Oreochromis niloticus: one gene and its partner. The protein of the gene in region 2 interacts with the protein of the main gene of each other region in a biochemical or structural test. Links are inferred from orthologs where the notes say so. Each region holds a gene or a part of one and is shown on either strand. Other genes may lie near its edges. The genes, in order: smyd3 and map3k2.

Region 1 (7,418 bases), on a different chromosome or scaffold from region 2:
ACTTAATAAACACATTATTTTATATAACATTTGCATTCCCTCTTATCTACTGGCTGATCCATCTTCATCTTGTCACTATGCAAAGGAAGCAGCTTGAAAAAAAAAACAATAGAGAAAATAAACAGCCCTGTCCTGATGTTAGTTCATGTAGCAATATTTCTCCATATTTACTTTCCAGCAGAGTGTTTATTATCTCTTTATTGGTATTCTATTATCTAAGCTTTTATTTGAGTAACTGACAGAGGAAGCATACACTGCAGCTATTGGCACACGGCGACAGTCTTCTGCTGCTCTAACAAAGCAGTGTGAGGTGCAGCATGTATCTCTGGGGTACTTGGACAGTTAAGTGAATAGAATTGTTCCATCCCCCACATTAACGTCATTACCCGTGGATAAAGTGGATGTGCTGCGGTGCCAAATGTACTGATCATTGACTGTCACTGCTGTGTCACAACTGGAGCCTGCACTGTGATGACCCACTCTTTCCTTAACAAGCCAGCAATGAGACAGAAACCCAAGAAAGATAACTGTCCTACTTAAGTTCAAATGGATTGCTCCACATTTGGCACATACAACTTGGTCCTCAGATGTTTTTGGCCATTTCCCCCCAAAAAACAGGTATTCTATATATATGTATATTTATATATACACATATTCTATATATTCTGTGGACTGACAAGACAAAAGTTGAACTTTTTAGAAAGATTAACTCCTGTTACATCTGCTGTAAAATGAACACAGCATCTCATAAACAGAACATCACAGCAACAGTCAAACATGGTGATGGTAGTATTATGGTCTAGGGCTGCCTTGCTGCTGAAAACAAAATGAATCGAAGTGCAGACTTAAATCAGATTGAAATGCTTTGGCATGAAACATGTGGTTCATGCTCAAAAATCATTAAATGCAGCTAAAAAAAACCTATTCTGCACACAAGACCAGGCCAAAATTCTCCATAGCAATGTGAAAGACTCACTGCCTGTTATCTCAAACGATTTTTTTCCTTAACAAATGAAATCATAATTTAAAACCTGCATTTGGTGTTTATTTGGGTTGTCTTTGTCTAACATTTAAATTTATTTGAGCTGTAATAACAAATATGAAACTATGTGACAAATATGCAAAATTAATACGAAATCAGAAAGGGTGAGCCCAGACCGTTTTTCACAGCACTGCAGAGACTTTTACCAGGTGTATGTGTTGATGGTGGGGTACAGATTAGGAGATTTCAGTACAAATTAATCAAAATTTGCAATGTAAAAGCATTTTCATTGACCATGAACCTGAATACAATTTAACATTTCATCAGATACATATTACAGTGTGAGAAGAGAGAGTAATTTTGACTGCGGCATTAAAGAGTGAATACACTCTCTAAAAAGCATTACTTTCTTGTTTAAATATGTGTATTTTTCTATTCTCTCAGAAGATGCCTGCAATAACTACTTGTGTTGATCATTGCAACCAGCCATGACAGGAAGGCTAGTTTTGGACAAATCTGTCAACACAATACAACACAAAAACAGAGGCCCAGGTTGAACACGAGTGCGGTCCACTGATGAGAGTCACTGGCATCACGGCTGATGTGATCCCGTTGCTAGACTGTCTCTGTTCATTTGTTTCTTAGGCTCATATATGTACTATTTATAGCACACAGTAATTAACCTATCACTTTGCACCAGAAATTAGCACACTTGTTTCTCTCCTTAGCAGCCTCATTAAATTCACATACATCCATTTAGCCTGATTAAGTAGGTTTGTCTACATTAGAAAGCCACAGTGCTATCATTAAGCATCAAACTGAAAAAAAAATAACAGCAGGAAATGAGATGAAACCAAGGACAAGTCATCAGATTGATGCAAATAAAGGATAATGTGTACCTTCCCACATATAATCAGGAAAAATGAAAAAAATTATGAATTTGATATGAGAACGAGAAACTGTTTATAATTTCAAGAGGATACTCGGTCAGTACAAAAAACAATCTGAGGCTAATTCAGTGCTGTATACATGTGGACAAACATCACACTGCTGTAAGTTCGCTGCTTGGTAGCCCAATGACAAATTAATTTAGCAGCATAAAGGACAGAGCTTCAGAATCAGGCAGTAATAAAAGACCCAACATGAGGCCCCATATCAACTGATACTGCATACTAACTCTTAATGCATATTCTATATTCTGTATCTAAACAAGAGTACAATTAATCATACAACCAACAAAAGCCACAATAGGTATTACTGGCTTTGAGTCCTTGGTCATGAACACAAAGATAATAACATTTCCAAGTTTTCTAACACAATATGGTTCGTCCTCTCTCCAAAGGTCATTATTCCAGAAGTCTTGTCGTTTATTTAGATGCAGCTTTACAATCCTAAGCCATACTGCCATGTACTTTTATATAGAGAGAGACTTTCTACCATAACCCCTTCCAAAAAAGTCACACATATTCAGCCTTTCTCTAACTGAACTTCAACATTTAACATGCTAACTGAGGTCTGTAAAGTCTGATGCATGGCTCTTTGGTTTCTTTGCACTTACTCTGAGCATTTCATGGTCTGACCTTGTTGTGAATTTGCTGGGAAGTCCACTCTTGGGAAACTGCAGCATTGTGTCAACACAGACTTGAATGCTCCAGATTAGGAAACTGTCAAAACGTCTGTTTTATAAAAGTGCTTAAAACTGAGGCTGACCTCAATCATATACATTTTTTTGATTAGCAGCACCTGTACTTACCCTCTTAATTCCTATGGAAGCAGTAGGGGTGTACTTAGGTTTCCCCAGGATTGCATATAGTCCTGTGAAAACTTGTAACTCTGTACTAAGTCAGTTATTACACGCCTCAGACAAACTCACTGTAATTTTTTAGTGCAACCCTTTGTATATTATGCCAAGTTTAATCAGAAATATGCTCCAAATATGCAGTCACTAAAAGATTAATAACACTATGGGCTGAGGTCAGAGTGACATGAGAAAATTATCTCAAAACTAATTCCAGAACTCCTACTTGGACTGTATTCGAAAGAAGAAAATCACAGTCAAAACAAATCAATATTGATAAAACTCAGCCATTAAAAAAAAAGATCTATCATAAAGATCTTATAGACCAAATGTTGTGTCGTGGATGGGACAAATGATGTTAAACATTTCACTAGAAAAATTTACATATATTGAAATTGAAGCTGAACTTTGGATCAGGAAGTCAATGCTTGGTTTGGTATTCACTTCCCCATTAACAAAGGGAGGGGTTCATGGTTGTTGATATTGTTGATATTATTGTTTTTACAGCACTTATAAAGATTTTTTTTTCCTATTATAAATTTCACTGTCAGATTATTATAACTGAAGTCTGCCTCCTCCATGAAGGAGCCTTGCTACCATCTCGTGGCCGGTTGAAGAACTGCATCTACTAAAGTTATCCTTCAGCAGCTATGATGAACAAGGAATATCCATAGTACCCATGCACCCACTTATATATAAAGACTATACAGTCTGTGATATACAGTAGACCGTATATACCACCTTCGGTAAACTAAAACTAACATAGATAGAAATCATTTATCTATTTAAGCTTCCCACAAGCACAGAGCGAGTCCTCAACCATCACACTGCCTCCACTTTAACTACACACACTACTATACACCCAGCAGCGTTTCCTTTCCACAAAAGGCTGTTCGCAGGTCACACTGACAGATCAAGCACCCCCGGTCTTACCGAGTGAAGCAGTGGTGGCAGACCTCTTTGGCCAGTCTGTTGGACACGCAGCAGGCCAGCGGCTCGGCAGAGATCACCAGCTCTCCTTTGCGTATCCTGCCCGCTGCCCGGAGACCGTTACCTTTCCCTGGGCTGACGAAACGCTCGAGCATCGGTGCCATCATTGATTTTCCCTCCACGTGAAACAAACTTCCGTGTTTACATCCGTGATAAACGCTGCGTCATGACGTCACATGAACGTACACACGCTTTTACTACATATAAATGCAAAACGATTGTTTCGTATTTTTTGTATTTCTTTTTTATTATTATTTCTTTCCAAACTGTGTGTGCACCTCACAATTTATTATTTTTAACACTTGGTTTTTATTGAGTGTTTTTGCTTTTGTTTTCTTTAGATATAACATAGACGGTATTTGTAAATGGCATAGAAATGTCAATAAACATATTAATAATAATAATATGTTAATATTAATAATATAATAAACCAATGCCTTCCCTTTTAATATTAGTTTAGTTTTAGGTAATGCTGTATATGGTTGTTATTAGATTTATTAATATGAACTAATGAAGCATGCACTATCAAATGTGATTTCTGAATTCTCTGTTGTGTAATATTTGTGCACTGTTAGCAAAACCTTGGAAAGATGCTGGACAGAGACACAGGTACACTTAAGAAAAGCATTTGATCTGTTTGTTTTGTTAATAAAGATATATTTTCAGCAGATTAATGGTCACTTGGGTGATTTTTGCGTGGTTTGGATGATTGGCCATCTATATGGTAAAAGGCCTACCAGCTGCAGTGCTCCTGTTCTCAGAAGTTTAAAACAGATGAACTATTGTTCAGCAGCAAAGTCCTTTTGGAATAATAATATAATGTCTCTGGCACCTGATGTGGTTTTGCTCATTTTTGAATGTCAGTCTACTATTGTAAGTTGCCTCAAAATGAATCTTGGTAAACTAATATTTATGAATTCGTGCTTCTTCAAAATTTACACAAATCACTGACTGTTTATGTCATCACACAAATCTTTGATTTTTTTTTTTTTACATTATCCCTATAAAGATACTGCCCACTGCCTAGTGAGGACATGTTAACATTTTCCTGATAGTTATTCAAATCAAATTTTCAAATAAACAGCATACTTATTACAGAATTTTAATTAAAAAGAAATACTAAATATATTACTTGAATTCAGTTCATATACATGTCATATCAATTCAATTAAAACTGAAATAATTAAATAAAGAAATATGTCATACAACTTCACAAAGATTGTGATATCTCTGTAGTATCGCTGTACATCATTTACTAGATTCTTCACATTAACAGTCTTCTGTTTGATGTCAGTCTTCTAAACCATCCAGTGAAATTACAACAGTAAAATACAAAGCAAAAGCCACTAAATCAAACAATAACTTCTATGGGTGTGTGAAAAGACTCAGTATTGTCCAAAGGCAACGGGGTGCTGGATAACATTTTCTCTCCTTGGGCAGATTCCTCAGCACGAACCTCCCTGGAGCGCAAAACAACCACGAGAAACAAAATGTAAATGTATAAGCTTCACTCTGCAGATTTTGAACTTTAAATGTAAATATGCACTTTAAACTACCACCATAATATTTATTTCTGTTGACAGCTGATCCATTTCACTGTACGACACACTGAACCCCTGTACTCACAGACCGGCCCGGGAGTTGGGGACCGCTAATCTAGAACATCACCTTGTCAGGTCCATTTCTTCCAGTTCATGTCTGGACAGATGACAGACAAGTGCCACACCGATGCAGTCTCCGAAAACATTCACCACAGTGTTGCAGCGGTCTCTGAAAGGTAATACAAAAGAAAAAACTCATGCTAAACTAAACAATAAATTAAAACTACATAACACTGCTTTTTTTTTTCAATTTTATGTTCATACAGTACGTCTATGTTTTCAGTTTCTGAATCAATGAAGGCAGAAGAGACTCCTTTGGCCATCTGTGACAAAACTATTCACTATTTGTGTCATGTCCATTTCTAAAACTCACAGTAGCCATTCTATAACCACAAGGATGGAAGCGTCCCCCACAGGTAAACCGGCTGCAGTCAGAACAAAGAGAGTCGTCACTGCTCCTGTCGCCGGGATTCCTGCTGCTCCTATGCTGGAGACCGTTGCTGTAACTCTACAGAGCAAACAGACCAGTTACATTGGATTCTTGAAGACTACATCAATGACAAACAGTGTCATAAAATAATCAACGTACCCAATGGTGATCAGCTGGCTCAGGTTCAGTTTGATGTTGTTGAGCTGGGCAATGAAAACTGCTGCGACTGCCTCGTAAAGGGCAGTTCCATCCATGTTGATGTTGGTACCGATGGGCAGCATGAAACGAGTGATTCTGCGGTCGATCTTGATTCTGTCCTCACAACATCGGAAAGTGAGGGGCAATGTGGCAGAGCTATAAATCAATCGTAAGGGTTTAATCCCTTGGTCATAATTTCACATATTTAATAACTATAAAGACGAGCACTGGTGATGGACACTCAAAGCTAACATCAAACAGCTGAGAACCAAGACCTCAAAGGTAATCTTACCTGGATGAGATGAGCACTGCAGTCAGTAGAGCAGGATAAACCCCCTTAATGAGAACTATAGGGTTAGTTCTTGTAAATGCAAAATAGAGCGCTGGTAGAAACATTCCTGCGTGGATTATGAGCCTAAAACACACAATTTAAAGTGAATACTTACAGTCCTGGGTTTCTGGTTAGTATTTATTGAGTTTGGGTTCTGGTTTTGATTTTGTTGATCTTGTGTTTCTAATGCTCCCAGCATCACCCAGTGTCTCCATGTCTTAGCCTCACTCTGTCTTGACCCTCAGTGTCTCTGATATCCCGCTCTGTGTTTGTTATTCATCTTGTGGTTATTTCCTGTAATACTGCGATGGGCTCTCTTCTCATTGTTTTTATTTTTACGCTATGTATCTGTCTTTAAGTCTGTTTCTCTGATTGTCTTCAGGGATGTATGAGAACTTTCACCTCTTCTGGATTCCCAGCACACTATTTGGCTCAGTAAGCAACTCAGCTTAAGTTTTCTCTGTTGGTACCTTCCTATTGATTGGACTCACGTTCCCTGGTTCAGTCCCCTGAAGCTCACCTCATTAGTCCAACAAGACTAACTTCTTGCTAATTACTGAAGCGTAAATAAAACCTTTGTATTCTTTGTATGCAGAGTCTGTACACTCCATTTTGGCTCTGATTCAGCTGGCATTATACTGAATTCCAAGTTGCTCCTGATGCATTCATCACAGTATGAATGTGTGTAAATGTTAGATACAAAGCCCTTAGGTATAGAAAAAAGGGCCTGTATGAATGTGTGGATGAACTGGCGAATGAGGCTTGTAGCATAAAGCACTTGAGCGCTCAAGCAGAACAGAAAAGTGTTACATAGGAACCAGCCCATTTACCATTTACAAATTTTGGGATGAGGGTTGGAAATGCAGCTAAATTATGGGTCAGTATTCTGTTAATAAAAACAGATGAAAAAACTTACCCAAAAACAACTACAGCCATGAACTTTCCCAATTTGTAGATGGTTTCCCAATCATAAGCATCAACAACACGGCTTGCAATCATGAACATCACTCCCACTGGCAAGTAGCTGGAGAGGATAAAGGAAGGAAATTACTTACTAAACAGATATGATTTCTATCACAGCAGTACTA
Region 2 (7,418 bases):
ATGTCAAAGAGCCATTGTTCGGGGGGGAGAAAAAAAAAAAAAAAAAAACCATTCCTCAAATTATAGGTCTGTCAAAAGATGAAGCTGACTCGCTGCCAATGAGTAACACTGTCTCACAGCATGTACCTACCCATCTTAATGGCACGGCGATTGACCCAGGAGGCCAGGAAAGAGGATTCTCCCATCAAAGGGATTCCTTTCTCCTGAAACACAAAAACATCATCATAAATCCTTACATGCAGTTAAAAGGGATCATTACACATAGTGTGTGAATAAAAACATTTCTGTTAACTGAAATTGTCTGAAAAATGCAAATTTATTGTAACTCGCCTTTATTTATTTTTTTCAATGTCAAAACAAGCATCTGGAGGCTTTATACATATTTTAAGAGTGTTATGTCTACATGATAGTTCTATTTCCCGATGCACCAATCCAGCATTTGGATCAGATACAAATCATCTATGCTGTTCTATGTCTACTATGTTACATATCAGCAGCAGTTGCTCCAACATAGCCTGGAGGACACCAGCAGCAACGAGGGTCAGGGGTTTGAGTACTGCTACACCAGCAGCTTTTCTCTGTATGTTTGCAGAAGTTTTTGACTTAACTGTGAGCTTCCCTGTCAGCTTCTCATTCTCACTCTCAGTATGTGTAAGGTGTAAAACTTGTTAGGAAGCATTTATTGCATTTTTATGGTAACATAACATGTCGTCATCAATATTTCTTCACTTCACGCCCCACACAAAGTGCATGTGTGAGTCAGGAGTGCTCCCAGCGAGTTGAAAGAAGAATAGTGCAAATAAACTAGGGTGAGGAATTCAGACACATTTGATTCATTTTACTTGTGCTGGCCAATCATCTGTCTTTTTCACTAATAAACTTCAATAAGTTTATATTCTTGGATGTATTCACCACATTTCTTAAAATAAGTAAAATAATGTTTGAGTCAAACGCAACGTTTTGATCAGCAAAAAAGATTCTCAGTATCTTCCTCACAGTGAGGAGCACATATGATTAAATTAACACTGAAACCCAAACCCGGTACTTGATATCAATATACAGTGCTGTGCAAAAGTCTTGAGTCAGCTCTTGTTTCTTTACATTTTGCTTCCAAGAAGCCACACTGTCATTTTTTAAAGTGGCCTTGAGTAAAGAACCAATTTCTTAGTAGAAGCCTGTCACAAAACATCATCTGTTTTTGTATTTCAGCCAGTGGTGTCAGAGATTAAAATCAATGAATAATGAACACAGAAAAAGTACCATGCAATCCACCATGCAATACCATCTGGAACACATCTAATTGCCAACGCCTTGTTTTTTCAGCATGACAATAATCCCAAACACACTGCCAATGCAAGTAAAAACAATTATTCTTTTTGTGTCTGATTATTCTGCACACTACAGACTTAAACCATAAGAATATCGAGCTCAACTGTGAGGTTGCTTAAGTAAAAATCCCACACGTATTCTGAATATCAGCCATAATCTAAACACCTTAAGCAGGCTTACTAAATATTATTTACATACAACCCTGGTTTAACAAAAACCTGTTTTACTTATGACACTGCTTACAAGAACTACTCTACCCACAATCCTGAACTGAAACAGCAATGCCTCCAATCGGTGGAGGTCGCTGTTACTGTTGAAATTCTTTAAATGTAGGAACATCAGCACAAAACTTCAGAAAAACAAGCGAGCAATGATTGCAGCGAGGCTAAACTTTACTACACACACACCATGAATTACAACATATAGTCAAAACTGTTATTACGCAACACTAAAACAACCCAAAGGATTACATTGAAGGAGGCTGGAATTCATTCACTGTGAAATCTAGGATTTGCAGCGCATTATGGGGATGAGCAGTTCCTGTACACAGCCTCGTACCTTTGCCTTCTTTTTTTGATCCAAATCAAATCTTTTTAATGGCCATGATTCACCTCATAGCTGGTTGGTTTGGTCTGAGGATTAAAACTCTTTATATAAGGATTTTCTGAAACATCAATAGAGAGAATGAACAAGGAACTCACTTCTGGAATGGGAGCCCTTAAATTGCTGTGTTCCCTACAAAGATAAATAGTATATTTGTGATTTTATAAGGGGAAAAAAAAAAAAAAAAATCACATGAGAAAACAGCAGCGACAAAATCTTTAATACAAGTGTAGTGGAGTAAATGCTGACCCTACTTTAAGAGCCCTTTTCTTCACATTTAAACTACCCACACTGGTGGATATTTTATTGCCAATTTAATGTGAAAATATTGGTTAATGTGGTTCCATTCAGATGAGTCAGTTTCCAGACCATACCTTTCTACTGATCACTGATTATGTTTAACTGGGCTCCGGATACCCACACTATAGGAGGTCAAGCATTTAGCTTTTGAATTTGTCACTAAACTGTATATTATACTATTGCATTGCCATGTATAGTGAAATATGCAATGACTGTAGCTATGAGTGTCCAATAAAGGCGCTATAAAGGTTGCAGCATACGCTTGAGTGTGGAATAAAAGTAGTTTATTGTTCAGTTATCAATTAATATTATTGAACATAACCTCCAGAATTTAATCTGTACAAACATAATTAGCCCTCATCTTATTGTTATTGCAAAAGAGTGGAAATTTAAGTCAAGATGGCCTCTGCTGACGAGGAGTTGATTGGAAATTGGTGATGATAGTCTGTGATCATCACTGATTGATGAGAGAGCTGCAGCATTGGTGCTAGCTTTAGCTTAGCGTTTTTTCTTCTCTCTTTTACCCTTACATACATCATCCTCCTGATGAGCATCATCTTCTGTGCCGACTCTTGCTCAGTGCTCACAACAAAGTTGATATCAACAGCACAATTATGGCCTCCTTTGGTAGATAATTAGCTCGCTTTAGATTCTCCTGCTAGCGTTAGCCGAGTAGCAACATAGCAACTGATGCTAGCATATTTTTAGCATTTACAGCCGCTTTGATGAATAATTATAAGACACTTTTGACACTTACGCCCAAAATACTGTTTGTTATCTAATCAGAGAGCCGATATGTGAAGCTAAGCTAGACGTGTGCAACTAGCTGTCAGGCCAGGGAAGTTGTCAAGCTGAGCTAATGCTAACAGCCAACCGCACAGCTAATCAGCGTTCACCTGCGCTGCACGACTATAATAAAAACAAACAGCCCTTAAAGGAATAAATAAACCCTTCAAATGGATCCAATACTTCTTTAGTATCGTACCTGGGCGCTAATTAGATGTGTAGTCACTTCCTCATCCACAGGGCCGGTGACAGGAGCCCCGGGCCCCGCGGAGAGCCGCTGGAGGAAGCAGAAGTTTGGCAGTCCGCTCCCAACTTCACTCGAGTGCTGCCGGACCACGACGACGACGAGGCCTGACGACTGTCAGAGGAGCCAGCTGAAGCTTTTCGACCACAAGACGACAAAACGGCGGCTCGTCTGACTAAGTAGCTCCTTGTCTGTGCAGTGGTTAAAAGGCTAACTTAATCAGAGGCGCTCTTTTAGCTGTACTTTACACCCTGGTTAACGGTAGCTCCGCTCGCTGCTGACCCCACGACGCCATCAAGCTGTCACTTATTAAAAATAATTTAACCGGAAGTAGAGACAGAGAATAAAAGAAGATACATTCAAGTAACTATTATGTGTTTTATTTTGACAACCAGTGCCAGGATATCATATTTCATTTACGGAAACTTGAAAGGTCTTAACCCCAACCTTGTCGGAAGAGTCCAATAAAAACACGACCTGTCACGTCAGAGAAATTTATGAGTTTCCTGTCAAAGAGTAAATACATTTGATTGGTGTTTAATCACTGAGTTATTGTAGTTTTATTTTTTTTTAATAGTTTTATAGATTTTATTACAATTTAATATAATTGTTCAACATATTTAGAGATTTAAGAGTTTCTATTGATTAAATTCATTATTATTAATTATGCAAGCACAAAATTATAGCTACACTCTCTCAGGGGTGCATAAAATTAAAATATGCATATATATATATATATATATATATATATATATATATATACATATATATATATATATATATATATATATATATATGTATATACATACACACAGGGCCATGCCTACAAATGCATAAATAATATATCACCATACGTAGTTTTGAAGGAAGTAAATAATGAGACTGGACATCAAAATATTGCACATTAGAATTGAACATGAGTTATTTACAGCTGGTATATATCTATATACACTTTGACATCTACATGACTGTAGATGCCTTTGCATATTTGGCTTGGAGATTAAAATGAGCCTGCATGACTACTCTGGCACATTTACATCATAAACCTGAGCGCTCATGTAAATTAATGTGCATTGTCCCATTTAAATAAAGTAAATATAAATTTAAATCTTTTGCTTCTGCGGATTTGCTTCTTTCATTTTAGTTTAGTTTTTTATTATTTTTAGTATTAGTTTGGAGGTTTCTTTGTTATGTAATGGGTGCTATTTGTTGGTATTGTCAGGTAATGGTGGTATTTACTGCTATTATTATAATTAACACCTGAGGCTGACGTGTTGCTGAAACTGGACTAAACTGAAAAAGAGTAAATTTGAAGCAATTGATATTTTAATTCTGTTTAAATTAGTTTTGCAAATGCATAATATGATTTTAATTTTTTTTTCTTTCCTATACAGCTCTAGGTTGTTTATTTTTTTAAATAAAATTTAACAAAATGTTTAATGTATTATAAAAGTATTTTGTTATATATCCACATCACCAGCATTTAAAAGGCCAATAACTTGATGTCACTAATGGACTGATCAATATGTATTGTATTGATCTGTATTTATAATTTAAAATGTGAATTTTAATTTTAATTAAAAGCCAAACTCTTTAATCAACTTGTCTGGGTGCTTAAAAATAATGTGAAACATATATAGGGGCAGTTTAGACCAAGCACAAATGGAAATTCTGATATCACTCAGGTGAGACAAAACTGATTTTAAAAACCTCAAACTCCAAATAAGCCAGTGTTTATCTAGTTTATATTCATTCTTATTAGCCAGATAAAATGAATTTGTTAATAAAAAAAACAAAAAACAAACATATTTTAGAGCTTTAAAATGATCCTGCAATAAAACACAGTGTCATTGTGTGTGTGTGTGTGTGTCTGTGTGTGCGTGTGTGTCTGTGTGTCTGTGTGTGTGTGTGTGTGTGTGTGTGTGTGTGTGTGTGTGTGTGTGTGTGTGTCACATCCTGACATTATCAAAATTTAAAAAACAAAAACAGCCCTATGTTTTCTGCAATGTGCCTACAACTTGTATGATATGGAAAGGGCCCCATTATAATACATTTCTCCATCTAAGAGTTTCTATATTATATTTTAGTGTCAGTTTTGTTCATGTTGTCTAAGTTTATTATTGCATTTAGACCCAGTGTTATCTAGATTGTGGTTTATGGTTTTGGTCTTTGGATTGTTACACCCAGCTTGATAAAAGTCAAATACAGAGACTGCAAGCATTCCTTCCATAAAAATATAAACATTGTTCTTTAAAAAACATAAAACGTCTGTACTCTGTGCTGCATATTCACCACATTATTAGTCCGTTTTCAAAAAAAAAGTTTTTTCTGTGCTATAAAAGTACACTGAAAAGGGGGAAGAGTCCATAAAAAAGTACAATGTACCATTTTAAAATAAAGGAATTTTCCATTTAAATGTTTTATAGATATTTTTCCATACTTTTTAAATAAATACCGGGTTTAATTATTTACCGTGTCCATAAACTTGCATTTACTATCAGCAAAGATTTATATCACACTCTAATGGTCAAACATTACATTATACATATATTATATTGTAAAATAGTCTGCCTTGGTGACCAGTCGGGCAGATGGCCGACCCTCCCTCAATCTGCTTGTGTTGGAAGTTCATTTCCTATTAAAAGGCAGTTCTTCCTCCCCACTGTCACCAAGTGCTTGCTCATACGGGGCTGTCTGATATGGGGGGTTTCACTCAGTGTTGTAACAATTTGTAGATTTAGAATAATCAAAACATTTTCGAAACAACACTTTTGGCTGTGCCTTTATTTTCCCAAGGGTGTGCCACAGCCGATAGATGTGCAAAAGTTGTTGCCTTGGCACAGAGTTCACACCAGATGTCCTTACTGACACAACCCTCCCATTTATCCAGGCTTGGGACCAGCACGTACACTAAGGACACTGAGTGGAGACTGAGTTTGTGTCTCCACCCTCTCAAATTTTTTGACCACTACACCACAGAGCCACTTGTTGTAAAAATAACCTGTTATGGGGAAATTCAAATTTATGAAGTTACAAAAATTTATATAGTTCTTCATGTGATATGTTATAATCAGTGTTGGGTAAGTTACTTTAAATTAGTAACTTAGTTACATTACTAGTTACTTCTATCAAAAGTAACTCAGTTACTTCAAGTTACTCGTTACTTTCAGAGTAACTAGTTACTAGGGAAAGTAACTTTGGTTTTACTCAGAATTCTCTTGTTAATGTGTTGCTTCCGTAACTGGATACCCAGCCAGACTGCCAGTCTTCTAGCTTGCTTACTTGCCACAAGTGCACTGTGCCACCTACCAATAGAAAGGAAAAAATAATGTGCACATTTCCACGAGAGAAATCCCACGCCTGGACCGTCGTTGACCGCCGCCATGATTCTAGCCTGCTTTTTACATCCAACACAAAAACTGCAGTCGTGGTGCTTTTGATTGTACTCAGAACTTGGAAATTCTGCCTTCTGAATAGGAAGATGTAGGTAACACCAGACTGCAGATGAGCTGCATACAGAGCTGGACTGGGACAAAAAAATCGTCCCGGGCATTTTGACTAGAGACCGGCCCACCATTATAGGAAAAATCATAAAGCCTTTGAATGAAAATAAACACTGTTGTGACAGTGATGTACACTGTTCTGATGGTATATATGTATCAATCTATCAATTGTTTGTTGTAAGACTCAGATAATTATTTTTTTAAAAGCGAGACATTTTAAATGAGAATAATAAAGAAAACTATTTCCTTGTGTCCCCCTTTCCCTGTTAATGCCCTACCTGGCCCCCTGGCAACACTTTGCTAGACCCGCCCCTGCACAGTTACCAGCTGTCAGCTACTTAGAAAAGGATCCTGGTGTTATTTGTCTCTCAGAAACAGTTCATAACTTCCCTTCAACTCGTTCATGTCACCTAAAAGGTAAACCTGTTTCTCCATCACCTGTTCAGCTCTGATGATTCAGTAAGGACATCTCCTGGTTTCATCTGCATGTTTCCCTCTCACCAGATAACCAAACCGATATCATGACCAGCAGCTTTACAGCTGTGGCTCCAGCAAACATCAGCTGATACTAGAAATTAATATTAAATAAATTCTAACAACAGCTGATCAAGCTTAAACGTGCTGCTGTTGTTTAACGCGACATCCGCTGGTTT

Evidence for each region.
Region 1: the proteins of map3k2 (region 2) and smyd3 are reported together in a solved structure, tested with the Homo sapiens proteins (2 studies listed by BioGRID and IntAct, with this or other methods). The link is inferred for Oreochromis niloticus from reciprocal best matches to the Homo sapiens genes MAP3K2 and SMYD3.

The regions. Positions count from the first base shown.
Region 1 is NC_031965.2:25,951,517-25,958,934, reverse strand, and holds the start of smyd3 (histone-lysine N-methyltransferase SMYD3), read right to left. Parts: upstream 3,929-7,418; 5' UTR 3,878-3,928; coding exon 3,714-3,877; intron 1-3,713. Other genes in the region: excitatory amino acid transporter 3, read right to left, coding at 5,122-5,230, 5,439-5,540, 5,745-5,879, 5,961-6,155, 6,292-6,414, 7,247-7,354. UniProt on the Homo sapiens protein: Histone methyltransferase. Specifically methylates 'Lys-4' of histone H3, inducing di- and tri-methylation, but not monomethylation. Also methylates 'Lys-5' of histone H4.
Region 2 is NC_031986.2:20,160,284-20,167,701, reverse strand, and holds the start of map3k2 (mitogen-activated protein kinase kinase kinase 2), read right to left. Parts: upstream 3,573-7,418; 5' UTR 3,218-3,572; intron 204-3,217; 5' UTR 186-203; coding exon 131-185; intron 1-130. UniProt on the Homo sapiens protein: Component of a protein kinase signal transduction cascade. Regulates the JNK and ERK5 pathways by phosphorylating and activating MAP2K5 and MAP2K7. Plays a role in caveolae kiss-and-run dynamics.